Astyanax mexicanus: one gene and its partner. The protein of the gene in region 1 purifies or fractionates together with the protein of each later gene. This does not show direct contact. Links are inferred from orthologs where the notes say so. Each region holds a gene or a part of one and is shown on either strand. Other genes may lie near its edges. The genes, in order: slc7a11 and otud5a.

What was found.
Region 2: the proteins of slc7a11 (region 1) and otud5a purify together in Homo sapiens (affinity purification with western blotting; 3 studies listed by BioGRID, with this or other methods). This does not show direct contact. The link is inferred for Astyanax mexicanus from reciprocal best matches to the Homo sapiens genes SLC7A11 and OTUD5.

What each region holds. Positions count from the first base shown.
Region 1 is NC_064417.1:29,470,276-29,486,180, forward strand, and holds the start of slc7a11 (cystine/glutamate transporter), read left to right. Parts: upstream 1-7,022; 5' UTR 7,023-7,163; coding exon 7,164-7,407; intron 7,408-15,905. UniProt on the Homo sapiens protein: Heterodimer with SLC3A2, that functions as an antiporter by mediating the exchange of extracellular anionic L-cystine and intracellular L-glutamate across the cellular plasma membrane.
Region 2 is NC_064419.1:3,679,748-3,695,571, reverse strand, and holds the start of otud5a (OTU domain-containing protein 5-A), read left to right. Parts: upstream 1-7,644; 5' UTR 7,645-7,940; coding exon 7,941-8,504; intron 8,505-15,824. UniProt on the Homo sapiens protein: Deubiquitinating enzyme that functions as a negative regulator of the innate immune system. Has peptidase activity towards 'Lys-48'- and 'Lys-63'-linked polyubiquitin chains. Can also cleave 'Lys-11'-linked ubiquitin chains (in vitro).

The DNA of each region.
Region 1 (15,905 bases):
GTGAACAAGTGTAACGATTGTTTTTAACACACTTTGCTAAAAATGAACAAAAGTATATTTTGAAATAAGCATTTTATAAGTATATTGAATTACATTAAACTAAAAGTGTACTTCCAACCCAGTATCACGCCCCTGTGTGAAATACACACGTTGGTCCACTAGGGGCAGCGTATCAGTGTCACGTTTTTGTGTGCCTGAAGCGTGAAATACACACGCTGCTCAAAGCCATATAAGCTGTACTTCATAGTATACATATATATTTTTTTTAAAACACTATATTGTACTTTTTAGAAATAAAAATTGATCAAATTTTACTTACACACATTAGATGCATAATATTATTGTACTTTTAATATATGTTTACTGTACATACATCTGTTAGTATATGTACAGCACACTTAGACATTTCTCAATATGTTTTAAGTACAATATATATTTTTTTATATTTATTAACCCAAATGTAAATACTGTATTCCATTATGTATTAGCAATGCTTAGTTTAATGCCCATTTAGACAAAATGTTTTTGGAATGTGTGATCTGAGACTTTCATTAGACCAAAACGCTTCCTTTTCTCCAGCTGTTTCTCACACACAGGAAGGTGATGTATGAAAAATCACCTCTGATGAGTGATCTTCTGGGAAGTGTTTCTCAATAATGGGAATGATGTCTAAACTCTGCATCAGTAATGTAAAAAAACAAGTATTGGCAATTCCCAAACCACTTCCAGCATGGTTACCAATCACCAAACCCAAAATTAAAAAAAAAAAAAAAACTGACTATATGATTTCTAGATGAATGACATTTTAAAAATTGACTAATTAAAGAACCAAGAAGAACCAAAAAGCAGGTCTAAACTTCTGGTATGTTGGTTCAGGGTCTCCCTGGGGTGGTAGCTGGTACTGTATCCATCATAGCTTTGGTATTGGTGCTGGTTTTGTGCTGAACTGATAACCTGGTCTAATTAAGCAGTGATCTGATGAAGGATGAGATAAGATGACCCTTATCTCCCTTAGTTTTTAGCCTGCAGCGAAGCCATGCGCAGGTGAGGCCTGCAACAATAAAAAACCTGACCATCAACAGCCTCAGCAAATTCCCTTCTGAAATGCTTATCTAACTGTGTGTGTGTGTATGTGTCTGTGTGTGTGTGTGTGTGTGTGTGTGTGTGTGTGTGTGTGTGTGTGTGTGTGTGTGTGTGTGTGTGTGTGCTGTTCGTGACTCAGAATAATAATGATTTTAGATACACCCACGCCCTCCAACTAAATAAAGTAGAGTTACTGTGCAGAAATACTGCTTTGTCACAGTGACAGTACACTATTGGTATGCTGGCTAACACTTAAGCACTTCCTGTTTGAAACAACAGTGTGTGTGTGTGTGCGTGCGTGTGTGTGTCTTGATAATATTAAAGCCTGCTGACAATTGTGTAAAAGTGCTATTTGTGTAAGGGTGTGAGTGTAGTAACTGTGTTGTTTTGTGTAGAGTGTAGAGTGTGCTGTTTGGTGTATAGTGTGGTGTTAATAAAGTGTGTTGTGTAGAGTGTGTGTTGTTTTGTGTAGAGTGTAGGTGTGGTGTTAATAAAGTGTGTTGTGTAGAGTGTGTGTTGTTTTGTGTAGAGTGTGAGCGTAGTAATAATATAGTGTGCTGTGTAGAGTGTGACTGTAGTGTTAATATATTTTTTGTGTAGAGTGTAGTGTTAATATAGTGTGCTGTGTAGAGTGTGACTGTAGTGTTAATATATGTTTTTTTGTGTAGAGTGTAGTGTTAATATAGTGTGCTGTGTAGAGTGTGTGTTGTTTTGTGTAGAGTGTGAGTGTAGTAATAATATACTATATTGTATAGAGTGTAAATGTAGTGTTAATATACTTATTTGTATAGAGTGTAAGTGTAGTGTTAATATAGTGTGTTGTGTAGCTGTGTGTTGTTTTGTGTAGAGTGTAAGTGTAGTGTTAATATAGTGTGTTGTATAGAGTGTGTGTTGTTTTGTGTAGAGTGTGAATGTAGTGATAATATACTTTTTTGTGTAGAGTGTAAGTGTAGTGTTAATATAGTGTGTTGTATAGAGTGTGTGTTGTTTTGTATAGAGTGTAGGTGTAGTGTTAATATAGTGTGTTGTATAGAGTGTGTGTTGTTTTGTGTAGAGTGTAAGTGTAGTGTTAATATAGTGTGTTGTATAGAGTGTGTGTTGTTTTGTGTAGAGTGTAAGTGTAGTGTTAATATAGTGTGTTGTATAGAGTGTGTGTTGTTTTGTGTAGAGTGTAAGTGTAGTGTTAATATAGTGTGCTGTGTAGCTGTGTGTTGTTTTGTGTAGAGTGTAAATGTAGTGTTAATATACTTATTTGTATAGAGTGTAAGTGTAGTGTTAATATAGTGTGTTGTGTAGCTGTGTGTTGTTTTGTATAGAGTGTAGGTGTAGTGTTAATATAGTGTGTTGTATAGAGTGTGTGTTGTTTTGTGTAGAGTGTGAATGTAGTGATAATATACTTTTTTGTGTAGAGTGTAAGTGTAGTGTTAATATAGTGTGTTGTATAGAGTGTGTGTTGTTTTGTATAGAGTGTAGGTGTAGTGTTAATATAGTGTGTTGTATAGAGTGTGTGTTGTTTTGTGTAGAGTGTAAGTGTAGTGTTAATATAGTGTGCTGTGTAGAGTGTGTGTTGTTTTGTGTAGAGTGTAAGTGTAGTGTTAATATAGTGTGCTGTGTAGAGTGTGTGTTGTTTTGTGTACAGTGTGAGTGTAGTAATAATATACTATATTGTATAGAGTGTAAATGTAGTGTTAATATACTTATTTGTATAGAGTGTAAGTGTAGTGTTAATATAGTGTGTTGTGTAACTGTGTGTTGTTTTGTGTATAGTATGAATGTAGTAATAATTCACTGTATTGTATAGAGTGTAAGTATAGTGGTAATATAGTGTGTTGTATAGAGTGTGTGTTGTTTTGTATAGAGTGTAGGTGTAGTGTTAATATAGTGTGTTGTGTAGCTGTGTGTTGTTTTGTGTATAGTATGAATGTAGTAATAATTTACTGTATTGTATAGAGTGTAAGTATAGTGGTAATATAGTGTGTTGTATAGAGTGTGTGTTGTTTTGTATAGAGTGTAGGTGTAGTGTTAATATAGTGTGTTGTATAGAGTGTGTGTTGTTTTGTGTAGAGTGTAAGTGTAGTGATAATATACTTTTTTGTGTAGAGTGTAATAGTGTTAATATAGTGTGCTGTGTAGAGTGTGACTGTAGTGTTAATATATGTTTTGTGTAGAGTGTAGTGTTAATATAGTGTGCTGTGTAGAGTGTGACTGTAGTGTTAATATATGTTTTGTGTAGAGTGTAGTGTTAATATAGTGTGCTGTGTAGAGTGTGACTGTAGTGTTAATATATTTTTTGTGTAGAGTGTAGTGTTAATATAGTGTGCTGTGTAGAGTGTGACTGTAGTGTTAATATATTTTTTGTGTAGAGTGTAGTGTTAATATAGTGTGCTGTGTAGAGTGTGACTGTAGTGTTAATATATTTTTTTGTGTAGAGTGTAGTGTTAATATAGTGTGCTGTGTAGAGTGTGACTGTAGTGTTAATATATTTTTTGTGTAGAGTGTAGTGTTAATATAGTGTGCTGTGTAGAGTGTGACTGTAGTGTTAATATATTTTTTGTGTAGAGTGTAGTGTTAATATAGTGTGCTGTGTAGAGTGTGACTGTAGTGTTAATATATTTTTTGTGTAGAGTGTAGTGTTAATATAGTGTGCTGTGTAGAGTGTGTGTTGTTTTGTGTAGAGTGTGAGTGTAGTAATAATATACTATATTGTATAGAGTGTAAATGTAGTGTTAATATACTTATTTGTATAGAGTGTAAGTGTAGTGTTAATATAGTGTGTTGTGTAGCTGTGTGTTGTTTTGTGTATAGTATGAATGTAGTAATAATTTACTGTATTGTATAGAGTGTAAGTATAGTGGTAATATAGTGTGTTGTATAGAGTGTGTGTTGTTTTGTATAGAGTGTAGGTGTAGTGTTAATATAGTGTGTTGCATAGAGTGTGTGTTGTTTTGTATAGAGTGTAGGTGTAGTGTTAATATAGTGTGTTGTATAGAGTCTGTGTTGTTTTGTGTAGAGTGTGAATGTAGTGATAATATACTTTTTTGTGTAGAGTGTAAGTGTAGTGTTAATATAGTGTGTTGTATAGAGTGTGTGTTGTTTTGTGTAGAGTGTAAGTGTAGTGTTAATATAGTGTGTTGTATAGAGTGTGTGTTGTTTTGTGTAGAGTGTAAGTGTAGTGTTAATATAGTGTGTTGTATAGAGTGTGTGTTGTTTTGTGTAGAGTGTAGGTGTAGTGTTAATATAGTGTGTTGTATAGAGTGTGTGTTGTTTTGTGTAGAGTGTAAATGTAGTGTTAATATAGTGTGTTGTATAGAGTGTGTGTTGTTTTGTGTAGAGTGTAAGTGTAGTGTTAATATAGTGTGTTGTATAGAGTGTGTGTTGTTTTGTGTAGAGTGTAAGTGTAGTGTTAATATAGTGTGTTGTATAGAGTGTGTGTTGTTTTGTGTAGAGTGTAAGTGTAGTGTTAATATAGTGTGTTGTATAGAGTGTGTGTTGTTTTGTGTAGAGTGTAGGTGTAGTGTTAATATAGTGTGTTGTATAGAGTGTAAGTGTAGTGTTAATATAGTGTGTTGTATAGAGTGTGTGTTGTTTTGTGTAGAGTGTGAGTGTAGTGTTAATATAGTGTGTTGTATAGAGTGTAAGTGTAGTGTTAATATAGTGTGTTGTATAGAGTGTGTGTTGTTTTGTGTAGAGTGTGAGTGTAGTAATAATATACTTTTTTGTATAGAGTGTAAATGTAGTGTTAATATACTGTATTTTATAGAGTGTAAGTTTTGTGTATGGTGTAAATGTAGTGTTAATAGACTGTTTTGTGTAGCTAAGTGTGTTGTGTATAGTGTAAGTGTAGTGTTAATATAGTGTGTTGTGTAGCTGTGTGTTGTTTTGTGTAGAGTGTGAGTGTAGTGATAATATAATGTATTGTATAGAGTGTAAGTGTGGTGTTAATAGACTGTGTTGTGTAGCTGTGTGTGTTGTGTATAGAGTGTAAATGTGGTGTTATTAGACTGTGTTGTGCAACTGTGTGTGTGTTGTGTAATTGTGTATGTAAAGGTGTTGTGTAAATTTGCTGTGTGGGTTTAGAGACGGTGAGACGGTGATGCAGTCTGCTCTTTGGGGGCGGGGCTAAGGCTGATGTAACTTTGCATCACTCACATCACCTATTTCCTCAATGCTGTTCCTCCGTCAGAGCTGTACCCACACACACACACACACACACACACACACACAGGCTGAAAGTCCTTCTGTGCACTTTTATCAGTTTGACCCAGAATTGCAGATTGTGAAGGACTGTTTGTAAGAGCAGTTGGATCAGGACCGTGTCTGGTTTAGAGTCGAGGTTCTCTGTAGTTCAGAGAGAAACAAAAGAATTCACCCTCGGGCTAAACCTCACCGACTTACTAATCACAGCACATGAATGAGAGAGAGAGAGAGAGAGAGAGAGAGAGAGAGAGAGAGAGAGAGAGAGAGAGAAAGACAGAGAGAGAGAGATAATGAATGAGAACAGAAAGTTAGAGGGAAAGAAAATTAAAGAGAGAGAAAGAGTGAGGCTGAGAAAAGTCAAAAAGAGAGGGGGGATAAAAACAAAACAAGTAGAACAGAGATAGAGAGATGAAAAGAAAAATGAGTAGTAATGAGAGTGAAGTAGATAAGAGAAGCACAATACAATACTCGCTACAGTTCAGTACAGTGTGTGTAGTGTAGTATTAGCAGAGCATGAGCAGAGTTTAGTAAAGTTTGTTGTATAGAATATTTCTAGAGTCTGAGTATTGTTTATAATATTAATAAGGTTTGTTTTGTAGCTCATTACCAGAGTAGAAAAAGAGTATTCATAGATTTTTAGTGGGATGTTATTGGAGTATTATTTATAATGTTAGTAAAATGTGTTGTGTAGAGTATTTGTGGAGTATGACTAGAGTATTGGTATAATTATTAGGATGTTAGTGGATTATTGTTTATAATATTAATAAAGTATTATTGCAGTATTAGTAGAGTGTTAGTAGGATGTTAGTGGAGTATTGTTTATGATATTAGTAAAGTATTATTGGAGTATTAGTAGAGTGTTAGTGGGACGTAAGTGGAGTATTGTTTAGGATATTAGTAAAGTAGTATTTAAGTATTAGTAGAGTGTTAGTGGGATGTAAGTGGAGTATTGTTTATAATATTAATAAAGTATTATTGGAGTATTAGTAGAGTATTATTGGAGTATTAGTAGACTGTTAGTGGGATGTAAGTGAAGTATTGTTTAGGATATTAGTAAAGTAGTATTGAAGTATTAGTAGAGTGTTTGTGGGATGTTAGTAGAGTATTGTTTATAACATTAGAAAAATATTATTGGAGTATTAGTAGAGTGTTTGTGGGATGTTAGTAGAGTATTGTTTATAACATTAGAAAAATATTATTGGAGTATTAGTAGAGTTTTAGTGGGATGTTAGTGGAGTATTGTTAATAATATTAGTAACGTGTGTGTAGAATATTAGTAGAGTATCAGTCGAGTAGTAGTAGAGTTTTAGTGGCATTTTATGACATAAGTAAAGTATTATTGGAGTATTAGTAGAGTTTTGAACAGGTGAACTCTGCTGTTGCATCATGACTCAGATCTGACCGTCTGCACTTCACACTTCTTCCCACACACACACACACACACACACACACATTCACATTCACACACAGAGCGCTGATGAAAGGGCAGAGCAGAGAAGGGGAGGAACAAAACAGTAAAAAGAGAAAAAGAGGTGTGTGTGTGTGTGAGTCTGAGTGTGTATGTGAGTGTGTGTTTGAGTGTGTGTGAAAGAAAGAGAGAGAGAGAGGTTGGCTTAGAGCTGTTCAATATTCAGGAGTGAATGAGTTTGGGCGGCCCTCAGCCAATCAGAAAGTTGTGCCGGGTCTGTGGGAACACCTAGTTCCTGTCAGGTTTTTTCCCTCCTTAGAGAGAGAGACGCTCAGTGACACGCGGCTTTACGGCCTTCACTCTCAGACTATAAAAGAGTGTGTGTCAGTGTGTCAGTGTGAGTGTGTGGTGTGAGTGTGTGTCAGCGTGAGAGTGTGAGTGTGTGTGTGAGTGTATAAGAGATAGTTTGGTAAAAATGAGCAGGAGAACAGCTCAGAATGGCCATACTAAAACAGATGGGGGTGTCCAGGCTGCATGTGGCCCCCCAGGTAAAGTGGCCCTGAAGAAAAAGGTCACCCTGCTAAGAGGAATCTCCATCATCATCGGCACCATCATTGGAGCGGGAATTTTCATCTCTCCGAAGGGCATCCTGAAAAATTCCGGAAGCGTGGGAATGTCCCTGGTGGTGTGGGTGGCCTGTGGGGTCCTGTCTTTATTCGGTGAGTGGGAAAAAAAACACACACTCACAGTCATATAATAGATATTCAATATACAGCATATTCTGTACCACTTTAAAATAAGACTACCTTTATAAAGGGTTTATAAATGGTTTACAACTAGTTTTTAATGGTTTCTAATCAGGTTGTAAATGCCTTTAAAAATCATTAATAATCAGTTATAACACATACATAGAAAGGGCAACAATGACCTGTTGTTTGCCAAATAGTGATCCCACTGCCAACTATATTGTTGCCCTTTCTACGTATGTGTTATAACTGATTATTAAGGTAGTCTTGTTTTAAAGTGGTACCGCATATTCATACTTGTCATAGTTAGCATCCTTTCATCATCCTTTTCTCTTTAATGGTCAGAACTCCTCAGAACCACCAAAGAGCAGCTACCATTTGGGTAATAGCTCATTCTCAACACAGGCAGTGGCACAGCAGTGCTGCTGGAGTATTTAAACACCTTAGCACCAGTGCTAGACTGAGAGTAATCAATCAATATTGTCTTGTGGGTAGCATCCTGTAAAAAGTGTCCTCTGTCTCTGATGTTATCTACTTTATCTACAAGGTGGAGCTGCTATAGATAAAAGTGTCTAATACAGTGGAAGACAGTGAGTGAACATAGTGTTTAAAAACTCCAGCAGCACTGCTGTGTATCTGAACCAGCACTTGAACCCTGTGACCCATCCTTCAAACACAGCAATAGCTGTTCTGTGGTGGTCCTGTCTGTGGGGTCCTGATCATTGTAAAACTGGTACTATAACACTATATTTTGTAGTTATAGAGCTATTTAGAAAGTGTAGAGTAATCAGTGTAGGAAGTGGTTTTATGGGTATGTCATGTGTTGATTGTGGGGATCTGATTTCTGCCAGTTTGCCAGAAGCTGTAAGCTGTAAGCATGGACAATTCTAGCCAGACACCACCAGTTATGATCATTTTACGTACATATATACAGTATGTTCAATGTATTTTCAATATATATCCTCGCTGTCCAATGAAAAACACCTAAAAGAGAAAAAATCTTGTAAACTTTTAATGGAATCGATGTAAAAAGAGTTTATTTCAGGTCATTTTAAAGAGTTTCTATTGGTCCATTCATCAAGAAATTTTGACTGTTCAAATTATGTAGTAAACTAAAAATATACCATATGACAGTAATGGAGATAAGTGTTTTTCATTGGACAGTGCTGATATTCTGTACTCCTTATGGAATAAACATAGGAATTCAATAGTAACAAACAGAAACCCACTTTTTGCTGAGTCATGACTAATACTAAGGTACCAAGGTGTTATAACCAAGGTCTCATGTCACTTATTACCAAACACTCAGTCAGCGCTTGGCTACTACCTGCCAAACACGCTACACTCAAACCCCAACCTCACACAAGCTCCTCAGCGTGTAATTCAATCTATCATCTGTAATGAATGACAAGCAGCTGGCAGGTACAGAGCAGGATGCCGGCAGCTCCTGAAAAGCCGGACACGTGGTTTCTGTATGTGTGTGTGTGTGTGTGTGTGTGTCTCTATGTGTGTCTATTTGTGTGTGTGTGTGAACAAAACTGTCACTGCCGCTTCCGTAATGCGAGCTCGTGAGCCGAGCACAGTACATCGCGCCGCAGCGTTAGAGCAGCAGGTGCTGTAACTCAGGGCAGGAACCGCTTCTCCTCATTCGCTCCTGTGACTCAGGCCTCATTGTTTCCTGTGTTTATTTAATGCACCTCTGACACGAACAGGCCCACAGGCTGGGAAACAGTGAACGGGGGCTTGGCCTCCGTCCACCTCACTCTGCATTTCAACTAGAGAGAGGCAGCAGATCTGAAAAGATGTTTGTTTTGCTCCCTGTGGGAGTTTAACCGGTATTTACACTGATGAAGCGCAATCATTTGCATAGCCCAATCCTAATTTGACCAATTTCCAGGGTGTGACACAGTTCTGTGATCTGTGTGTTTAGTCCAAACATGGATTAAAATATGTTCTATGTGACAAAAAAAAAAAAAAAAGGTAACACTTTACTTGGATGGTCCATTTTCTGGCCTCAGCTCATATTAAACTGAATGTATATTAAATGTAACATTACTAAACATTACTACACTCATATAATACTCAATACTGCATGATACAGCAGTGTTTAAATTTGTGATTAAACCTTTGAACCCTAGGCTGTTTTGGTGTGTTTGTTTTTTTCTTCGTTTTTGTCAGTTCCTCTTTTTCAGGTCTTATAACACAGTAATTATATCAGACAGACACATGCCCTGATTTCTTTTACTCCAGAAGCCATACGGCTGCTCAAAAATATCATAATTTAAAATGTAAAAGGAAGCAGAATTGTTATATATTCCTGGAACTGGTCATGTTTTGGTCAAAATTTTACCAAGCTCCTCCAAGTTTTTTATTTTACTCATTTTTGAATGTATATACTTTAAATATATTCACACCTAAGATATCCTTTCAAAAATGATTAGACTATAGTGTAAATGAGAAGTATGAAAGTATAAGAATATTGATGATAGTTCATTACATGGTTTACATGGACTTCTTTTTCTTGATAATCACACCTCTAGGATACATGTAGATTACTAAACACCTGACACTCAGAGCAGCCTATGCCTTTTAGTATTTTGATCAGGACACACAAAAAAATTAAAATAATATGATAAATAAAATAAATAAAAATGTTTAGTGCAAAATAACTACTTAGTAAAAATGTGCAAGTAAAATAAAAACTATATAAAGTCGTGCCATATCTAGCTTTAGTTTGAGTGCAGGTAGTTTCACACTTTTTCTGTGGACATTTTGAGTCATTTTGAGTCATTTACTGATATTATTTGGTTCGAAACATCATATAAATATGTTTGAAGCAGTAAAGGTAAATAATATTGGTTGGATTGCTATTTTTAGAAAGAGTTCCACCCTTTCTAACATTATATGGATTATGTTTCTGTGTGAAGGAATTCCTGAGTAATTAAGCTGAGAACACAAGGTGAGATCCGTCCGTAGGGTTCTTAGGGTTACATTTCGTGCTCCAAGTAGTCCAGAGGACTAAGGTGCTGCCACTATGATCGGGAGATCGCTGGTTTGTTTCCCATTCATGTAGCTTGCCATCAGCTGCCTGAGCCCTGAGAGAGCACAATTGGCCTTGTTCTCTCTGGGTGGGTAGATGGCTCTCTCTCACCACATCATTCCAAAGGGTGATGTCGATCAGCACAAGGCATCTGTGAGCTGATGTATCAGAACTGAGTCGCTGCGCTTTCCTCCGAGCCGTCCTGTTGTTGAGGCATTGCTAATGATCGGGGGAGTCCTAATGAGTAAGTTGGTAATTCGTCTTGTAAATTGGGGAGAAAATGGGATACAATTTTTGGGGGGAATTCGTTTCTATGCTTGCATTTTCCCCTTTTTCATGGGGTGATGATGCATCTCTTTATGTGGTAAAATTGCCCCTATAGGCCAAGCATACTCAACTTGCTATTTCAATTTTGTTTCAGTTGTGTTCAAAAAATATTGAAAAGGAAAAAAGAGAAATCTCTGCTTTTAGAAGTAGGTGGGTAGGAATATGAATCTACTCTCCATGTATTTGTGTATTTTAAGTCAGGCTATATTTTTCATGTTAAAGTTCATAGCTCTGCTCATAGTCACGCTGTGCTTCTGGTATAAATAAATAAATGAGGCGTGGGTTGACAACAACCGCAACTCATGCAGTCGTACTTTAACAGCAGGTGCCATTGTTTGCTTTAGTTAGCTTTAATCACAGGTGGTGTTCACCTTTATTTCCATATCCATTCTGTTTGCTGTCAGTTACTCATGTTCTGTCCTCCCCCAAACAATGCCTGTCAGAGCGATTGCATTTTTTCCCAGGCTGACCTTATTCACCTTATTGTTTTGTCTATAGTCGGTCCTGCTATGAGTGCTGATTATTTAATAAAATAGAAAGAATAAGCAGCTATAATCACACTCTTAAGACATTAGGAACATGGTTATTCACACACTATATGTCCAAAAGTATTGGGACACCTGCTTATTCATTGTTTTTCTGAAATCGAGACTATAAATAAGAATTCTTCCTGACTCTGTTGTCCAGAGAAGACTTCCTATTATGTTTTTGTGCATTGCTGTAAGGATTTGATGGAGGCCAGGATGATCAATACCCCACCTCATCCCCAACTCCCCAACTCATCCCATCCAAAAGTATTGGACAGAGGTCCATCATTCCACTGCTCTACAGTTCAAAGCATGGAGCCACTAGCATGTGGACTAGTACAACACTAAGCACACATTCCTGGAGCAGTGGGCAGCAGGAGAGCAGTTTACTAAACCTGGGTATTAAACCCATATCTCTGACATCTTCCACCCAGTGCTCCAACTATGGAGCCACCACGTCCCCAGGCTCAGCATCAGTTGGGTTCAGTTAATTGGAATAAATCCATATTACTTCCAGCAGGAAAGACTGATACCCTAACATTTCCAATCATTTTTCAACTGTTTTGGTAGCAGCATATGCACGAACATTGTCCTGTTGAAATAGTACACTGGGGTGTGCATTCAGAAAAGGTAGGGCCACTGGTTGCAGGACCTCATTAATGTAACAGTGGGCTATCTAAGTGTCTGTAACAAAGATCAAAGGTGATCTGGCAGCAAAATCGCACCCCATGCCATGAGACCATTGTCTCCAATAAGACAAAAGCAAGATTTGGGCAGATTCCCATATTATACTCAGCAACTGGGGTGTTGACACCAGTATTTTAGGCTGTTTCCCATATTATACTCAGAAACCGGGGTGTAAGCATCAAGACAAAAGCAAGATTTGTCACTGAAGATGATTAGCTGACATCCCGGATCACTTCCTGACAGTCTGTCACAACTACCCACCAGGTTTCATTCCTCTCAGTTGATTCTTCCTGATTCCAACAACCGTAACTACATGTTTTAGGCTCCTGGAATGTGTTTTACAAGCAAAAATGTGCACAGTGTCTTTGCAAGTGACATTTTTGTCTGGGTCAGTTGGGTACAGTGTGTGTACTGTGTTCCTACAGTGGGTTACAATGTGTTACTGTGTTTTTTTGCTGTTGAATGGAGTTCTATGGGCTAATGGTTTTAATTAAATTGCTCCAAGCAATTAATATAAAACGATTAAAGGTTCTTAGAAGGCGTCCAGTGTAAGATCTAGATATCTAGAATGGCTTGAAGGTAACATAAGCTAAATTCACCTTTAAAAGACTCTATAATCTGTGATTGGAGGGTCTGTGCCCCAAGGCCAAACATGGAAGTGTGTGTGTGTGCATGATAGAGCTTTTGTGCATGTATGTGTATAAGTGTGTGTGTGATAGACAGAGAGAAGCAGAGAGATTTGTATTGTCTTGGTAGTTATTTTCTTAACAGAAGCAAGGCTGTGGCGGTTGATGGCTCTGTGTACGGGGCATGAATTCATTTGTGTGTCAGGGCAGTATTGTTTAAGTGTGTGTGTATTCATGTGTGTGTCAGAAGTCATTTCACACTTGTCAGCACTCTTTTGTGGGCCGCCGCCTGCATGCTTTGAAGAACAGAAGAATTTCGAGCCATAGTTTTCACTCTCGGCCCGATCTGCTACCACCATCCTTCAGAAACAACAGGGGACAGAGAGCTAAAAGACCCTAAAGGTGTTTTTAAACCTAGGTTCTTTGGTCCAGACTTTTAGTTTGGTCTGAACCAGAAGAAACCAAAGAACCAAAATTTGTTTTGACCAGAAGAGGCTTAGAGACGAGAAGAAATCGGCCCAAGCTTTGCTCAGGTATGGCAGCATCAGTTGAGTTTTGGCGTTGGCCATGCAGAACAGGGCCCAATGTGGTTTATACACAGCAATTGGAGTTACTCGGCCTGATTTCCATATTATACTCAGTAACTGAGGTTTTGGCAAATGCAACTTGGGCCAATTCCCATATTTTACTCAGCAATTGAGGTGTTGGCAAATGCAGCTTGGGCCAATTCCATATATTTTACTCAGCAATTGAGTTGTTAGTATATTCAGCCCGGGCCGATTTCCATATTATACTCAGCAATTGAAGTGTTGGTACATGCGGCTAGGGACAAATCCCATATTATATTCAGCAACTAAGGTGTTGGCACATGCAGCTTGGACCGATTCCCATATTATACTCAGCAACCAGGATGTTGGCACAAGTCAAGTACAATATTATACATAGCTACTGGGGTGTACAGATGTGACCTTAGCATTCTGATTAAAATCTGATCTAGATTCAAACTAGATTCGAACCCAAGGCAATTCAACACAGGCTCAGCATTGGCCATTCAGAGATTTTTGACATTTTGGATGGTCTTAGTCTCAACTGTCTCAAATGAACTGTGGTTTGGTTAGTTTGAAATTAAACCATTTTTTTTAAACATATGGAATTTCAAGACCAATTACAGTAAGGTTAGTGCTTATATAAAAGAACTAGACAAGTTGTGCGCATTTGTGTGTATTTCTTGGCAATAGGTGCCAGATTTGGAAGCATAGAGTATCTTACTTTATAAACCTGCATTGTTTGGATGGAGACCTTGGAGATTGTTCCAAAACTTCAGAGTTTGAACTGGACCTTTGAAGTCTGATGCAATCCTTCGAAGTTTTGTCCAAAAAGAAAAGGAACTAAAATTCGGTCTGACCAAAAGAGCTGGTCTCAGTTTGGATCATCTAAGCCATGTTCTGGTTCATTTGCAGTGTGGAAACACTAAGCAATACCCCTGTGGACACACACTCCGCTTAGGATGAAACCACTGTTCCATGCTTTTTTTGGAATAGTTAGAATTGCTGATGCCATTCATCTATGTACTTTTAAATAACTCTGCAAATAAGCTGATGAAGGAATATTTTATAGAAATTACTCCATAGAAACTGTGGTGGTGATGTAGATAGAGCCCTCCATCAGAGACAGACCGCCTCCACACATCAAATCAGATCTCTAAATGTCTTGTCTCGTGCGAGCGTCACATGCCGGTTGTGTTTCTGAGATTAAAGATTGTTTGTTCGCTGTTACAGAACATCATTTAGAACAGACAGAGGATTGTTTGTGTAATAAAATGAGCTTTGTTCATTATGGAAGTCAGGGGAAATTCTTGGAGGTCCAGAAGCTGTGTTTTTTTTCTCTTTTTTTGCCAGTTCTTCCCTAATGAAGTGATCTGAAGATCTAATTATCTAGCTGTATCACCTCATTTAACAGTGCTGAATGTGTTGTTTGGACGTGAATGGCTGGAGACTCACCAGGCTGCCAGTATTAGCTGTAAAAAAGACAGGCTCAACCAGTCTGAAGGATAGCATCCACCTTAAAGGCTGTCAAAACCACTGGGACAGACTCACCCACACACTATTTATTAAAGTAAAGTTTGCTGCAGGATTGGTATGTGTGCAGTGTTAGGACTGTGAAGGCCTCACTGTGACCCATTACTATACTGCAATCTAGCACTTCTGATAAAACTTACCAGGAACCAAAATTGATTAAACATTTAGACTGCTATAGGTGATATTTATTGAGCTAGTGTGTAACACGTGTAATTCATGTGTAATGCATGTGTTAGGTGACATGTTGGTATTTGCGGCTTGAGCTAATTCTCATATTATACTCAGCAACCAGGGTGTTGGCATACATAATGTGGGCCGATTCCTATATTATACTGAGCAACTGAGGTCTTGGTACTTGCGGCTTGAGGTAACTCCCATAATATACTCAGCAACCAGAGTGTTGGCATAAAGGATGTGGGCCAATTCCCATATTATACTCAGCAACTGAGGTGCTGGTATTTGCGGCTTGAGCTAATTTTCATATTATACTCAGCAACCAGGGTGTTGGCACAAGTGATGTGGGCCAATTCCCATAATATACTCAGCAACTGAGGTTTTGATACTTGCGGATTGAGCCGATACCAATACTATTCTTAGCAACCAGGATGTTGGCACAAGTGACTTGGGTTGATTACCATATTATACACAGAAACTGGGGTGTTGGTCCATGTAGCACTTATAATGCATGTGTCAGGTGACATGCCAGACATTTCCTCATGAAATTGTAGAGGTTCTTAATATAATTTCTTAAAATATTCTGTGGGCCGATTCCCATATTATACTCAGCAACTGAGGTGTTGGCACAAGCAATGTGGGCCAATTCCCATATTATACTCAGCAACCAGGGTGTTGGCGCAAATGGTGTGAGCTGATTCCCATATTATACTCAGCAACTGAGATCTTGGTACTTGTGGCCTGAGCCAAATTCTATATTATAGTCAGCGACCAGGATGTTGGCACATGTGACTTGGGTTGATTACCATATTATACACAGAAACTGGGGTGTTGGTCCATGTAGCACTTATAATGCACGTGTCAGGTGACATGCCAGACATTTCCTTATGAAATTGTAGAGGTTCTTAATATAATTTCTTAAAATATTCTCACACTATTCCTGCATATTTTGCAGTAGGGTTGTTGAGAGAAAACCCCACCACATTTAATCACCAGCGGTGAAATACCCAGA
Region 2 (15,824 bases), on another chromosome or scaffold:
AAAAGAGACTTCACTTGAGAGTGTGTATGGTGCTGTACATAGATGAGTATGTAATTACTTACTAAGATGTCATTGTGAAAGATGTATTTTTAGATTGTATAACCCTCCCCGGCCGACAAAAGAGCACTACTACCACACTCGGCTGCAGTTGTGGAAACGGTCGTGTACAGAGTAGAGGAATTTTACAAGTGCCCAGCTATGGAGTTTAAAAGCTGACATAAGTATTTGAATCTGCATTTTGTATGTTTGAAATAAACTTACCTGTTTTTTTGTTATATTAATCAGAAAGTCAGATTTTAACAAGGCTTTTTTGTTTCTTGAATTTAGAAGAGGATACAATTTTATAGCCTCATTATAACAGGGGTGGGAGAAAATATTGATATTGCAATATATTGTATCGATTTTGTTTAGTTTAGCCATATATTACCAAATGTGATGTTAGATATCGTCGCTTTCCAATGAAAAACAAGTATCTCCATTTTTGTCAACAAACCAACAGTCCCTTACATTGTGTCAACATTTCTTAATGAATGACCAATAGAATTTCTTCAAAATGACCTGAAATAAACTCTTTTACATTGACTTCCATTGAAAGATAAGAAGGTTTTATCTCTCTCCTGTAGATGTGCTGTTTTGGAGATACTTGTTTTTCATTGGACAGCGACAATATCAGTATTTTTATTGAAACTTAGGTATATGTCCCCCAATTGACTGAAGTTACTGCTTCATTACTCCACATGGTGGCGCTAATCAAATCAAATGAATGGGGTAAATCTATAGTGAAAATATTAGTTATCAAATTCTGTGAAACTGACACCAATAAATCCAAAAATAAATCCAATAAATTTTTGGTGTATTTTTGGTGTATTTAATCCTAGTCAATAAAACAGATGTTGTGAAGTATCATAGAAAATTCTGATACATCTATGCAATATATCGAGTACTGCAGAATCATATTATCATGATATTATCACTATTGTATGCAAAGTATTGTGATAATATTATCATATCATGAGATGTTCTGTGATTCCCACCCCTAATAAATAAAATCATTATAACATAACATTTTCAGATCCATAAATTCAAATGTATCACCTATGACCTGTATTTTTATTTTTATTGCAGAGTTTTGCATTAAATAGATTTTTTTAAATATGAAGCAGATTTATTTTTTAATATTTAAAAATCGTATTATTTTGTTACAAAAAATTTCAATTAAATATTTTATTTTATTTCATATAATTCAGTTATACAAAATGCAGATTGGAATACTCACGTCAGCTTTTCAGCTCCGTACCCAGCCGAACACACTCCTGCAATAACAGTACATCACTACGAGTTTTCGAGAGCATTTATAACATGAGGCATGCTACTACGTTAACTAATTATTTGTATAATTTATTCACCATATGAGCATTAATCCAACCGAGATCTTCAGATCTTCAGATCACACATTTGGATTTCTTGCATGGAGTTCTTGCATGCTGTTTTTCAGTGCTCACAAAGTATTTATTTATTTATTTATTTTCTTTCTCACGTCTAAAAATACACAGATGCGAGAAGGTGGTAAACACATGCACACTCACACACACACACACACACACACTCACTCACACTCGCACAATCCTGAAACAGGATTTTTTTTCTTCTTCTATATTCTATATTCTCTATTCTATTTCCACTGCATTTATTATCACCTGTATTGTAATAATAACAGCGACTTTTACCTGCCGGCTGTTGTCACCTGCGACTAATTAGCCGTCAAGCAGAATGAATATTTGCTACAGCGGCCAGGCAGCTGTGTTTACTTGGCCTTTGCACTTTTGGATATCTGTTGATTTTGAATTTTCTGAATGTATATTATTCCTCCTTATTGATTAATCACTTTGTTCTTTTCACTTATATGTTTATTATATGATATGATTTAAATGAGATTCCATATAGAGGCCTAATACACTGACATTTCCAAAAGTCAGACGACAGCAATATGGATACTTATCAAGATCTCACACCCACACCTGTGTACAATGTGAGGTGTTATCTTGTGAGTAAAGGCCAATTTATACTTCTAATCTAACCCACAGTGAACAACAGTGCAGTGGGTGGTTATGATCGTGAACGGCAGCATCTGGGTACAATTGTCCATGTGAACAGATGAACAGAAAATTCAGACCTGCTGGAGACCCTACAGGTTTATCCAGCAGGTCTGCGCAGCATCCTTCAGCTTCGATTGGACATGGCAAAAGTCATGGGACACAAGACTATCCTATTCCTATTGAATGTTTCCTGACATTTGGCATGTCAGTGTATATACAGCTCTGGAAAAAATTAAGAGATCACTTCAGTTTCTGATTCAGTTTCTCTGATTTTGCTATTTATAGCTTTATGTTTGAGTAAAATTTAAATTAACATTATTGTTTTATTCTATAAGCTACTGACAACATTTCTCCCAAATTCTTAAATATAAAAATATTGTCATTTAGAGCATTTATTTACAGAAAATGAGATATGTCCGAAATAACAAAAAAGATCATGCAAATAATGCGAGTTCAGAAATCAATATTTGGTGGAATGACTCTGAACAGTTTTCAGGCATCTTGGCATCATGTTCTCCTCCTCCACCAGTCTTACACACTGCTTTTGGATAACTTTATGCTGCTTTACTCCTGGTAAAGGTGTGTTTATTGATTGAAATCCACAAACACTTTAGTTTGGACAGAATGCCGGGCTTTTCCACTGTCCGGTTATTATTTATGTTCTGCGCTGTGTATTATCGTTCCACAGTATGTTCAGCACCTCGTTACATGGTTGACAATTTCATTACTGAGAGACCGTTTCAGTTCTCTGCTGATTATATTATATTATATTGCCACATTCAATATTCATTCTCCTTTAAAAGGCATGATGGCCGTGATAGGTTGGGGAACAGGATTGCGTCAAGGTACCATCAATGAAATCAGTGTTTAATTTTCCATTACAGAGCGTAATTTGATTAGCCTCTGCAGCAAATAATAAACAAACACCTCCGGCTGCAGATGGCCAGCCCAAGGAAATACACAGAAATATAAACAGATCAGCCACATCATTAACACCACTGACGGGTAAAGAGGAAAACACTTTACTTTTATCTTCATCTACTGTGGCGTCTGTTAAAGGGTGTAGTTAACACATTAGGCAGCAACTAAACAGTCTGTTCTTGAATTGAATATGTGTTGAAAAGAGGAGTGTAAAAATCGAAGGTTATGTTAATTTGATCCATATCTGACATTTTTTCTGAACAGGTTGCTCTGTGTAAATGAGATGCATGCGCACAACAGCTATGCTTCACATGAAGTTTCAGTTTCATCCTCGCTAAAATGAAAGAAATATTGAGCTAGTTTCATAGTTTCTTTCTTAATTTCCTATTAATATTTCTTGATAAAAGAGAGACTACTTCAGTTTCTGAATCAGTTTCTCTGATTTTGTTATTTATAGGTTTATGTTTGAGTAAAATTAACAATGTTGTTTTATTCTACAAACTACAGACAACATTTCTCCCAAATTCCAAATAAGATAAAAATATTGTCATTTAGAGCATTTATTTTTCAGAAAATGAGAAATGGCTGAAATAACAAAAAAGAGTTTTCAGAACTCAAATAATGCAAAGAAAACAAGTTCATATTTATAAAGTTTTAAGAGTTCAGAAATCAATATTTGGTGATATAACCCTGTTTTTTAATCATAGTTTTTATCATGAATCTTGGAATGTTCCCCTCCACCAGTCTTACACACTGCTTTTGGATAACTTTATGCCGCCACTCCTGGTGCAAAAATTCAAGCAGTTCAGTTTGGTTTTATGACTTTTGATCATCTTCCTCTTGATTATATTCCAGGTTTTTAAATTTGGTAAAGTCAAAGAAACATTTTTAAGTGGTCAAATTGTTTTCCAGAGCTGGATGGATCAGATATTAAAGTGAATGAAGTGTGTTTTTTTGCGCATTAAAATATATCTGGAATCTAACTTAACATATTCATTTTTAATGCAAATTAATCAAGAATTATATTTAGGGGAAACACACCATCTCTACTGTCAGTTACTCAATCTACTGTCTGAGTGAGTTTATACAGTACAGAAGATCGGTCCCATGAGTCGTGTACAACCCAGACGAGGACCATATTGAACCCTTCCTGTTCCCTATCACTATCACTGGCCACCATGAAGCCTATAGTTCACATATTGGACAAAAGGTTCTGCTTTCCAGCTGAAAAGTATGGGTATAATTTAATATGTACTACTACTAATAATAATACCACACTAAACATTATTCAGTGTTCATTATATTAAAAGCATAGCATAGCAAACACTAATCATAGCACTAATCCTCATATAAAAATAATAAGTAAATGATAATGATAACCAAAAGTAATCAGCTCAGATCTGCAGGGATGCTCTCTCTCTCTCTCTTTGTCTCTATTGTCTATTGAATTTGTCATTGTTATTGTTTGAACCAAAGATGAAACGACAAATATTCAAAGGACCTGTCACGGTCAGATACGCAGAGGACATCTGTATAATGCATTATTAAACCTGAGTTGATCAAGCTGAAGTTGATGAAGTAAATCTTTGTTTTTGATGTAGTTTATACGTTTATTTATTCATGAATTTATTCTAAATGATATTTGTAAATGCATAAGTTAACATTGCTGCACACAGTGCTGGATTATCCTCACATCCATTCGAATCGTACCATGTTTTATTCTTCAGCCGCTCGTAATAAAAACACTTAACAGTTTTGATAGCTGTTTATAATCACGTATTAAATGTGGTGTCCACTCCTATAGAATGCAATATTACAGCACTGATGATAATAATTACAGCACTGTCTGCTCACCGCTCACGGTTTGTGTTACCCGCTGCTGGATGCTGGTTGCTGGGGCTCTGAGCACTGGGTTATTCTGAACAATGCCTGGAGTTTATTGCTACACACGTGCCCTCTGGTGGTGGAAGAGCTTGATGGCATATATTTGCTTTATCTGTGTGAATAGCAGGGTATTTTGTAATAGGAGGACAGACTGTTGTTTATATTTCGAGGTACTGTAGGTCAGTACTGCTTTAGGCGTGTTGGTCTGTGCTCAGTAGAAGACAATTGACTGTATGCAGAAACATCGGAAAGAAATAAACACAAATATCACAAATATCTGCTTTTGTGTGATTTTCTTATTGAAATATGCTGTTTTTTATCATATGTGTTGATGTATGTTACAAAGAAAGAAGTGAAAATGGTAATATATATATATATATAACATTTCTCATTTTTTAATAGATTTTTTATAGATTATTATAGATTTTTATCAGTCAGTAAGTCTGTAGTTAGTGGATACTTTTGCACCCCTTACAATAGAAAAGTTCATTTAAGTATATTTTTTAAAAGTATTTTAAAAGTTTTTTTTTATTTTATTTCAACAATAAAATTAATACGTACTTAAACAGATACTAAATGTACAATTATGGAACAACGTATGGCAACTTTTATAATTTTAAGCTTAAATATTTAAATACAACATAAAAGCATTACATTGTGCTTTTGAGTGCTTTTTCATATTATGTGTTATTAAACATATTTTTTATTACACTTGAAATATAAATGTACTAAATGTAAATGCACTTTAAGCAGTATTTAATGCCAAGAGATATATTTTCCATCAGCATGTTTAATTTAAAGCACATTGCTTAAAAATACAATTCATGGAAATACAGACTTTTATGAAACTATTCATGAAAATGTACTTTTAATGTTTATACTTTTGAGTATACTCCCTTTTAAAAGGGATATTTCAAGTCTTTTCTAAGAAAAATAGAACTACTTTAAAAAATACATATTAGATGTTAGTAATTCTAAAAGTTTTAGTTAGATATCAACATTTCTCCTCTTCTGTAAATTAAGTTCTACAGGTACAGCCAATAACTGAAAATGATCTAAAATCCAGTGTGCAAAAAATGCAGTAAACTTAAAAAAAAAAAAAAAAAAACTAACTAACTGAAATTAGGGAAAAAAAAAAAAAAAAAAAAAATATATATATATATATATATATATATATATATATATATATATATATATATATATAACTATAATAATAACCATAATAATAACTAGAAAAGAAAATGATACAGAAACACAGAGAACTCTATCAAAACTATCAAAAGTTAAAGTCTTTTCTTTAGAGAAATTACAGATGAAGCCAGAGAGTGGTGAGTCCTGTTTTCTACACCTTCAAAAGACTCTTGGAAACTGAAGAAAAAACTGCTACAGGAGGACGTCTGGCTGACCCACATGGAAATATTGGACTAAGTCTCAGTTTCAGCAGTGAAGAGAAAATTTAGAGGTCTGACAGGTGAAGTGCAGAAATAAAGTCATTGTTTTTTGGGTCAAAGAGGCACTGCTACTAAAAAAAATAGAGGTCTTCAAAACCTTTATTGTTTTTTTTTATTATTTCTTTTTAGCTATTTTATCTAAATAAGTCCCTCTAGCCCAACCCTGGTATAAGACATGAATGATGCCAGTGGTTACTGTTAGTCTGCTCGAGAGAGTCCTATTCTATTGGTAGTTCTTTTATACAGGGACTAAACAAACTGTTAAATGTTAAAATTTTAACATATTTGAGCTTTTTTTTTCAGAAAAAATATAAATGTTACAATTTAACTTTGGACAGTCCCATATATAATACTTACTAAATTTCTCAATATTTTGTGTGACCACCATGATTATCTAGCACTGCCTTAACCCTCTTGATGATATCACAAAGAAATTAATAAATACAAAGGAAGAAAGAAAAAAAGACAAATACAGCACAGAAAGAAGAAAAAAGAAAGGGAGAAAGGAAAAGATTGAAAGAAAAGAGAGAAATTAATACATAAAAAAGAAAAAAGGGAAAAAAGAAAAGGGAAATGACTAAAGAAAAAGAAAAAAATGCAGCATAGAAAAAAAGTGAAAAAGAATAGACTGAAAGAAAGAAAAATGATATAGCCTAGAAAGAAAGAAAAGGCAAATGAAAGAAAGAAAGAAAGAAAGAAGTGAAATAAAATTGAAAGAACAAAGAGAGATTAACTAACTAACAAAGAAAGCAAGAAAGAAAGAAAACAAAAAATAAAAATATGAAAATAAATAACAGATATCAATAAAGAAAAAATGAAAGAATGTAACCTAAAAAGATTAATATAACCTAGAAAGAAAGAAAGAAAGAAAGAAAAATATGTCATTGAAAGAAAGAAAAATGTTGCATAGAAGGAAAGAAAAAAGGGTGAATGAAAGAAAGAAAGTAAAGAAAGGAAGGAAGAAATATAGCCTGAACTGAAAAAAGAAAGAAAGAAAGAAGTGGTGAGAAATAAAAGAGTGAAATGAAAAATGAAAAAATGGCCTAGAAAGACAGACACAAAGAAAGCATAAGAAAGAAATAAGAATATAGCCTAAAATAAAAAAGTAAATAAAGTAAAAATCATAGAGAGAAAGAAAGAGAGAAAGAAGGAGAGAAAGAAAGAAGGAAAGAGGAGCGGGGCTGCGGGTAGTTTGATGGGAGCCCGTGGCCGGGGGGTTTGGGGGGGATTGGAGGGGGGGGGGTGTTGGATCTGTCGATCTGTATGAGGGGAGGAAGTGACGCGACCGTGTCGTCAGCGCTGTGTTGATGTTGTTGGACGCTGAGCGGAGGGGAAGCTCCAGCAGTGGCGGCTCGGCGGCGGCGGAGACTTGGGCTGTTTTTGTTCTCTCCGCGGCGCTTTTTACCCACAAAAACGACGCCTTACCTTACCCGAAACCTCCAGGGAGGAGCCCTCGGTCCAGAGAAGACGGCCAGGCTGAAGCACGGGCGGCGCAGAGCTCTCCCCGAGCCGGAGGACTCGTCACCCCTGACACCCCTCCTCCTCTTCCCGCTCCCCCCTCCCTGCCCTCCGCGCACACACAGCCAACATGACGATCCTGCCCAAGAAGAAGCCGAGCTCCACGGTCGGGGTCCAGGACCACGCCGACGAGAGCGACAGGCGAGCCGGCTCCGACCCTCACCAGCACGGCCACGGCGTTGTGCGGACCGGGGCGAGGCCTAGAGCTTCACCGCCGCCGTGGTCATATCAAGCCGCGCCGCCTCAGTCCAGGGAGGACAGGCGGAATGAATCGAGCTCGCGGCCGCAGCAGGCCTCCCCTCCGCCGGTGGGAGCTGGATCCCCCGCCGGCCCGGGGGACGGAGGCGGTCTGGGCGGGATTAGCTGCGTGTCCGGCGGTCGCGGGGAGCTAGCGGGCGGCGTGGTGGGCTGTGGGGGCACTATCGGCAGCTGCTGCTCTGGGCCGGGTCTCAGCAAGCGGCGGCGGCAGGCGACCTGCTCTGGGGGAGTCGCGGGCGGGGGGACACCCGGTGTGTCCGGGGGTGGTGGTGTGGGTCCAGGCCCAGATCAGGAGGAGGGTGCCGGGTACAACAGTGAAGATGAGTACGAGAATGCTTCCAGACTCCAGTCAGAAGATCCAGCAACAGTTGAGCAGGTAAATATGCAGCGTTTGTGTATGTAAACATTAGCTAGATAGCTAGTTGGCTATCACCAAAATAAGCTAAGCTAAGGCAGCTGCAGCTGACGGTTATTTTGGCAGCTGACGGTTATTTTGGCAGTCGACTAATCTGACGATTATTTTTTTCGATTAGTCGATTAGTCAGCGACTAAATTTGCCCCCTGTTTAAAAGATTTGAATTTTGAGCATCACTTTCAAGTGGAACTTGGTTTCTCACAGCCAAACTATCAAAATACAGGTGTTTATAGTGAGATGATCATTCATTTTACAAGGATATTGTACTGCAGGGTATTGTACTATTTTTTTTCCGATTCGTCGATTAATCGGCGACTATTTCTGACATCCCCTCCATCACTGCCTCCTGTGGGCAGGGCTCCTGTTTCAACTCGTCTTTTAAATCACTTGCTGAAATCTGCACACCTGTGATTCTTACCCTGTTCTAGCAAACTAATAAATTAATATATGCAGATAAAACTCAAATATCAACCAATCAACCATTATTTTGACTCGGAGGTGCATTAAGGACAACCCTCATTTTCAGTGTAGCTGAGCATTTACAAATACAAGGACTGACATGACGAAGAAAATAACTACGTTTAGTCATATTAAAAAACAGAAACTAAAAGATAAAAATAGATGAAAAAAGAATAAAATAAATAGCATAAACAGAAAGAAACAAAGCCTAGAAAGACAGAAAGAAGAGTATACCCTGGAATTAAAGAAAGGGTGAAAGAAAGAGAAAAATATAGCATAAACAGAAAGAAACATGCAGCCAAGACAGAAAGAAAAAATAAAAAAAAACAATAATACCTACTTTAATTAAGAAATTAAGATTAAAAATGAGATTAATACAAAAAGTTAAAATTAAGCTAAAACTAACTTTTACATAGTACAATAAAAATACAAATGAATAAAGTATTAAAAAATAAGTAATTTACATAAGTAGGACTGCACAATATATTGTATCAGTGGCATGATATAAAAGAGTTAAATAACAAAAAGAAGGAGAGAGAAAGAGTGACAAGATAAGAACAAGACAGAAAAGGGTAAAACAAATGGATTGACAGATATTCAACAAACAAAAATGAATAAAGAGTTCTAGAAAGAAAGACAGAGTGAGAGAGAGGGGGGGGGTGGGAAATGAATGGACAGAAGCGAGATTGATATAAAGAAAAAATGACAGCACATCTGTGTGCATCTAAATTCAGAGTAAAATAAATATCAGGCAGATGTAGTCTCAGATATAGTTTGCGATGCATTAGCGATAATCTTTAAGACTCACCCCTAATTTGTCTTACTAAATTTTTGTTACTAAATGCTTCGTTACACCACATGGCGCTAAAACTATCACAAATCAATCCATAATTCCTGTTCTTGCTTATTTAGGAGTATTTTATTATCTTTAAAACAGATATGAAATATCGTAGAGATTTGTCTTGTAAATTACAGAATTGTAATGCCATTATTATTATTATTATTATTATTATTATTATTATTATTATGGGCAATGTATCATGATAATATCGTATCAGGAAATGCTCTTTAATTGTTCACATGTACACATTGCAATAACTATTCTGAAACAGATATATTGTGCAGCCCTGATTGAACACAGTTCTTTGGATCACCTGGTAAAGAATAACCTGATAAATGTAAAAGTGTTGAATTTTGAGCATTACCTTGAGGTGGAACCTTTAGATGGTTTCTAACAGATAAAGTATCAAAACACAGATGCTTATGATGTGTAAATGCAGACTGGAAATCCTAATTTAATGAAGACAGCAAGCATCAGCAGTGTTTTGTGGTTAATCATAGTAATAACAGAAATAAAATACTAATAATAAAGGCTTGGGAAAGCTGCTACTTGATGAACATTCATTTAAGTATATAAATATTGTTGACATTTATTTCTGTTTTTATTACTGTTAGGATATTGTACTGCAGTGATGATAAGGTATCAAACAACAAACATCTTCCCACTGCATCCGCAGTCTATATAAGCATAAAATGTTATGAGAGTTTGAGTGATTTTTTTTCTTTTATGACACGATATTAAAACTTTAAATAAAATAAACTAGCCGATATTACAGTAAACACTCTTAAACACTCTTCAACCCCACAGGTGAAGTTGCACTGTCATTAGGCCTGTCACGATAAGATTTTTTGGTAGACGATATATTGTCCCAGAAATTATTGCGATACACAATATTTTTGTCATTTGAGACAGATTTTGAAATAATGATAAAAGAATAGCATAAAAAATCAATTATACACTTTGTAAAGATGACAACATTTGAATAATTCATTTATTATAATTAGTTTGAGAAATATATACTTTATTTTTTCACCTACCTTAGTCCACACTTTGAGTATGGAGTCACAGTTATTGAAGCATGACTGGATAAAATACTGTTCACTGTTTTATATGTGAACAAACATACAAATAAACACAATACAACACAAAATACACATCTCGTCAGTCACACTGCACAGTCTGAATATATTCTGTCTAGACTTTAGAAGTTCGGCTGCTATTTTTACAGTTTCACTGAATCTTGAAGCCATAATCAAACAAAAATAAATATTTTAACAACAAAAAAAAATAATATCTAATCTATCTGCCATGAAAATCTAATTTCGTCAGTTTGGTTGCTATGTTAGTCCCCTGCTTTTTCCAGCTATGAGAAATGGTGCACCACATACATTTTCTCAACCCAGAGAAGACAAGAAAATGTTTCTCATCCCAGTCCTTAGAACTCATCTGACGGTTCCACGTTTCAGCTCTGTCCCAGGTCCCAACACACTAGGTTAGAGCGAAAATGCAGAACTGTCAGGTGGACCCAAAGGACTGGGTTGAGAAATGCTGATTTAAAATACACAAGGCCTTTTCTTCTGGGACTTCTCTGGGAAGATCATTTAGAGAAACTGGTACACTGAAACACAACAGTAGTGCTCGAGTATCTGAGGGCAGATTTTCCAGGGCAGTTAATTGCATATTTTCCTCTGCTGGGAATTTCTTTAGCTGTTAGAATCTTCATAAAGGAGATACTAGGGGCTTTAAATTAGTTTTTATTTTCAGCCTTTTTGCATTTTGTAACCTTTTTTTTTTAGTTAAAAAATGTCGACTCCAAATTTCAGTGAGTCAGTGAGTTAAAATAGTTCCATTGCTGCTCTGTTTATTGCTGCGCTGTTTGGCTTGTAAGCGCTGATTCGTTGCTAGGTTACCTGTATGTAGCAGCCTAATACATGAAGAGCTTCGGTTACAGTGCATTACCGGCTGATAACGGCACTCATAGAACGCCTCTCAGCCAATCACATTGCAGTGTAAGAACAAAATGTTGTATAAAGGGGTAATTGGAACACTCACACAGTTGCAACATGCAACTTGGTCTGTGTCTCCAAAAGTGCTCAAACATAACTCATTACATATTTACTCACTAAATATCAGAACAGTCCACATTTAAAAATCTGGGCTTTTAAAGGGCATTTACATCTCACGATCAGCTGTTTTTCATTTAAAACTGAAGAAATGTATGACAGAAACAACTTCTGACTAATCGAATAATCATCAGTTTAGTCAACAACAACAAAAAAGAAATTGGTTGCAACCCTACTGTAGATTAAACAATTAGATTTGTTTCTCTGTGTCTCTATGTAACTCACTATTGGAGGTATGTTGTGTCATGTCTTATCATACGCATAAAAACATCGCCAACATTTTTTGATATGGTAAATTATATATATTATGCTATATCTCCTCCCACCCCTATCACATTAGGGTTCTACTTTTTTTTGCTGTTTTTAGTAAAAGAAAATATTCTTAGTTAAAAGTTTCCCATTATATATCTACTAGAGACAGATTATATCTATAAAGTATAATTTATTTTACTTTAATCCTGCATATGTGAAGATATTTCTGTTACAAATCTAAATCTAGATAAAATTCTTGTTTTTTAATATCTCAGTTAGGGGTATGCCATATCATATCATATATGCAATAATAACATTTAATTTTCATATTGTTGCAGTTGTGTATTTAATTTTTTTAATAACAAAGGCTAAATGCTTTAATTTTCCATTATTTTTTTGCCTATATATTTTGTCTATTTAATGTAGAGTTGCAACAAATAATTGATTAAAATAAAAATATGTTAAAATAGTTGACATATCTAAACAATATCTGATCAGATATATTGAATGCGTTAAATAAATTATATTAACAAATATATTTACTTTTTAGCCGGTTAACAATTAATTAAGCAAAACAAATAATCATTAGTTTAATCATTTATAATCAAAATAATTGTTGGAAGCAGACCTATTTATTGTGATCAATAATAATAACAGTTCCACTTTGTGCTAAACTCACTGAGCAGTGTGCAGAAGTTGAGGCTTTTATTATGACATGGGTCTGCTGGACAGGAACTGCAGTATCTGTGTTCCTTATGAATGAAACTTCATAAGTATAAAATATAAGATTAAATATAAGAATTTAAAATGTTTTATTAGCTTTTTGAGTTAAATAAGTATAATGTTTTTTTTCACTACTTAAATGTTAGTAAACAGAACTGTGCAGAGAGTCTGTGAAATGCTGTTTAAAATAGTGAAGTTAGCATTAGCTTAGCTTCTGAACAATAATAAAACCAGCCCCTGCTTCCTGTTCTGTGTGGATTGGTCTATATTGTGTCCTGTGTAATTTATACACTTATCGTACACTAAATGGACATGACCTCAATAGTATATGATAATAGTGATATTGTTTATTATGTTTATTTGTGTGTTTGTTCACAAATATAACAGTGAACAATATTTTAGTCAGTCGTGCAATACCAGACCAATGTTTTAATAACTGTGACACGATACACACAGTGTGTACTGTACAGACTGCTGTAGATGGAAATATATATATATTAATATATATGATATATGATTAATTAAAAATGATGTTATTGGTTTTATAAGGATATGGATTGTATGTTATGCTGCCATTATATTATCGTTATATCAGTGGAATTTAATAGCCTTAAATTGACAATAATATTGTTTATTGCTATGATTTCACAAAAAAATGTTATTATGACAGGCCTAATATTTACATTATTGGCTTATTGTACAATATTTATATACAACCTCAACCATTTTTGCTGGCCTGATATTGCCTAATATATTTTTCATAGCAAGGAGAGTCTAGTATTATTAAGAAGACAATGTGCAATTTATTTAAAATCAGTGCTTTTATTCTGTATGTTAAAATAACAAATCAGTGGTTCTCAACTGGTCTAGGCTAGGACTCACTAAGTTGTGACCCAGACCCCCTTTTTAATGTTTACTGCTCTTTTAAATAATATTATTATATTATTTTGCTATCATATTGTTATAATATTAGTAAAAAAAAAAAATGAAAGACCAAAAAAAGATGATCCTTTATTTTAATTATTCCTGGAATAATATATTGTTCAGTAAACTAAAGTTCTTGTGAAAGGTTTAGCCTGGATCTGATGTGATTGCACAAAGGAAACTAACAAATACAAACAAAAACAGGTGCTGCTAATTTTACGCATTATAGTTTGGCACTATTTGTGTGTTATCTGCTGCTTTGATCATGGTTCATGTTAAAATGTAGTAAAACAATCTATGTTACCTATAATTTGTTCCTCACTTAGCACATGCAGTGCGACAGGTTTAGGCACCTGAGTGCAGCTGTGAATGTGTTAAAGTTGGGCGTCAGTCTGAAGTTGGTGTCGTTTCTAAATTAGAAACTCTGGCTCTAATTTATACACTTTATACTTTTATACACTCTAATTCTACACTGACTGGTGCTAATGTTATGGCTGAGTAGTGAATGCAAACAAAAGCTGGGGAGCAGGATCAGGACTGATGAACACCATTTTTAATGGAGACAGGAGTTCGTTTAGGGTCTTAGTTAGTTTAGCCATCAAACTCTCAAAAATCTTATTTTTAACTTTAATATTTGAAATGTGTTCCTCTGAAGAAATGAAACATACACACTGGAAGCAGGGCTCCATGATATATCGTTTAAGCATCATCGATAACACCTAAGGCAATTAAATAAATTAAACACGTCATGTTGCAATGTTTTGATTCTTGACACGAGAAGCAGATACACAGTGCTGTCTCTGAGTCTGTGTGAGTGACATGCTGCTGCTGCCATTAAAATGTCTGATTAAAGGGCCGATTACTGTTGTTTTGCTGTTTTCCTCGGGTTTTAAAAGCTTGGCGCTGACTACGTTTTTGATTGGTCCAAACGCGAGACAGTAGTGTGCTGGTGGGGTGTAATTTTTTCTGATATCGTGCAGCCCTAACTGGAAACATTTTAAAGTGTATAAAAAATCTGGCCAAAGTAGATCCAGATCAATAAAAATCCTGTTAAAGCAGGTATAAAGCAGGGTTTTTTAGAGATCTTTATAAATGGCTCAGATCTATTTGCATATATTTAGCACTGTCTCAATCACTCGTTTGTGGACTGTTAAAGATGTGATCTGAAAGCTCGCTGAGAGCTCACAGATGCTGAAAGTTACCTTTATATAGGTTTTAATTAGACGTGTCAGGAAGTGTGTGAGGTGTTGAGACCTGAATGTGTCTGGCATTGAGTTCTGCAGAGCCAGTGCACAGCATGTTCCACTCAAATAGCTCCAGGTTTTTTAAGAATTACAGGTTCATTAGGATTCTAAATATGAGTATTGCCACATCCATAGGAACAGCATACTAATAATCCTGCATATTTAACTGTTGTTACAAAAGTAAGTTGACTACTGAGTTTTAAAAAAAGGTGGGCAGGTCCTGATGCCAAAACCCAGACAGATTTCTGTATTTTTTGTACCAGAAAGTTTAAATAAGATCATACTGGCTAAAACTAGGGCTGGTTGATATTGATAATTGGTTTTGTGATATATATATATATAAATCTATATCAAGGCATTTTCTGCTGAATAGGTACCATTTCTTTCCCCAGGAAATTACATATATAAATGTGCACACTAAATAACTTTAAAATACATTTTATTCTGAAGCATAGTGTACATTGTACATTGACCTGATTGCAAAAATAAGATATGTAATGAAAAACATTTAATAAAAACTACCTAGAACATAAAAAAATATCATTTGTTACCTGTCCCCAATCTCTCTCTCTAACTATAAACTTGAAATATACAAACCATGAAATATAATTAAAATTGTATTTTAAATAGAAACATAATATATAATATATTTGCATTGTGTGACTCAAAATCCATCTATAATGTAAATAAATAATAATAAATCCATAATATTTAG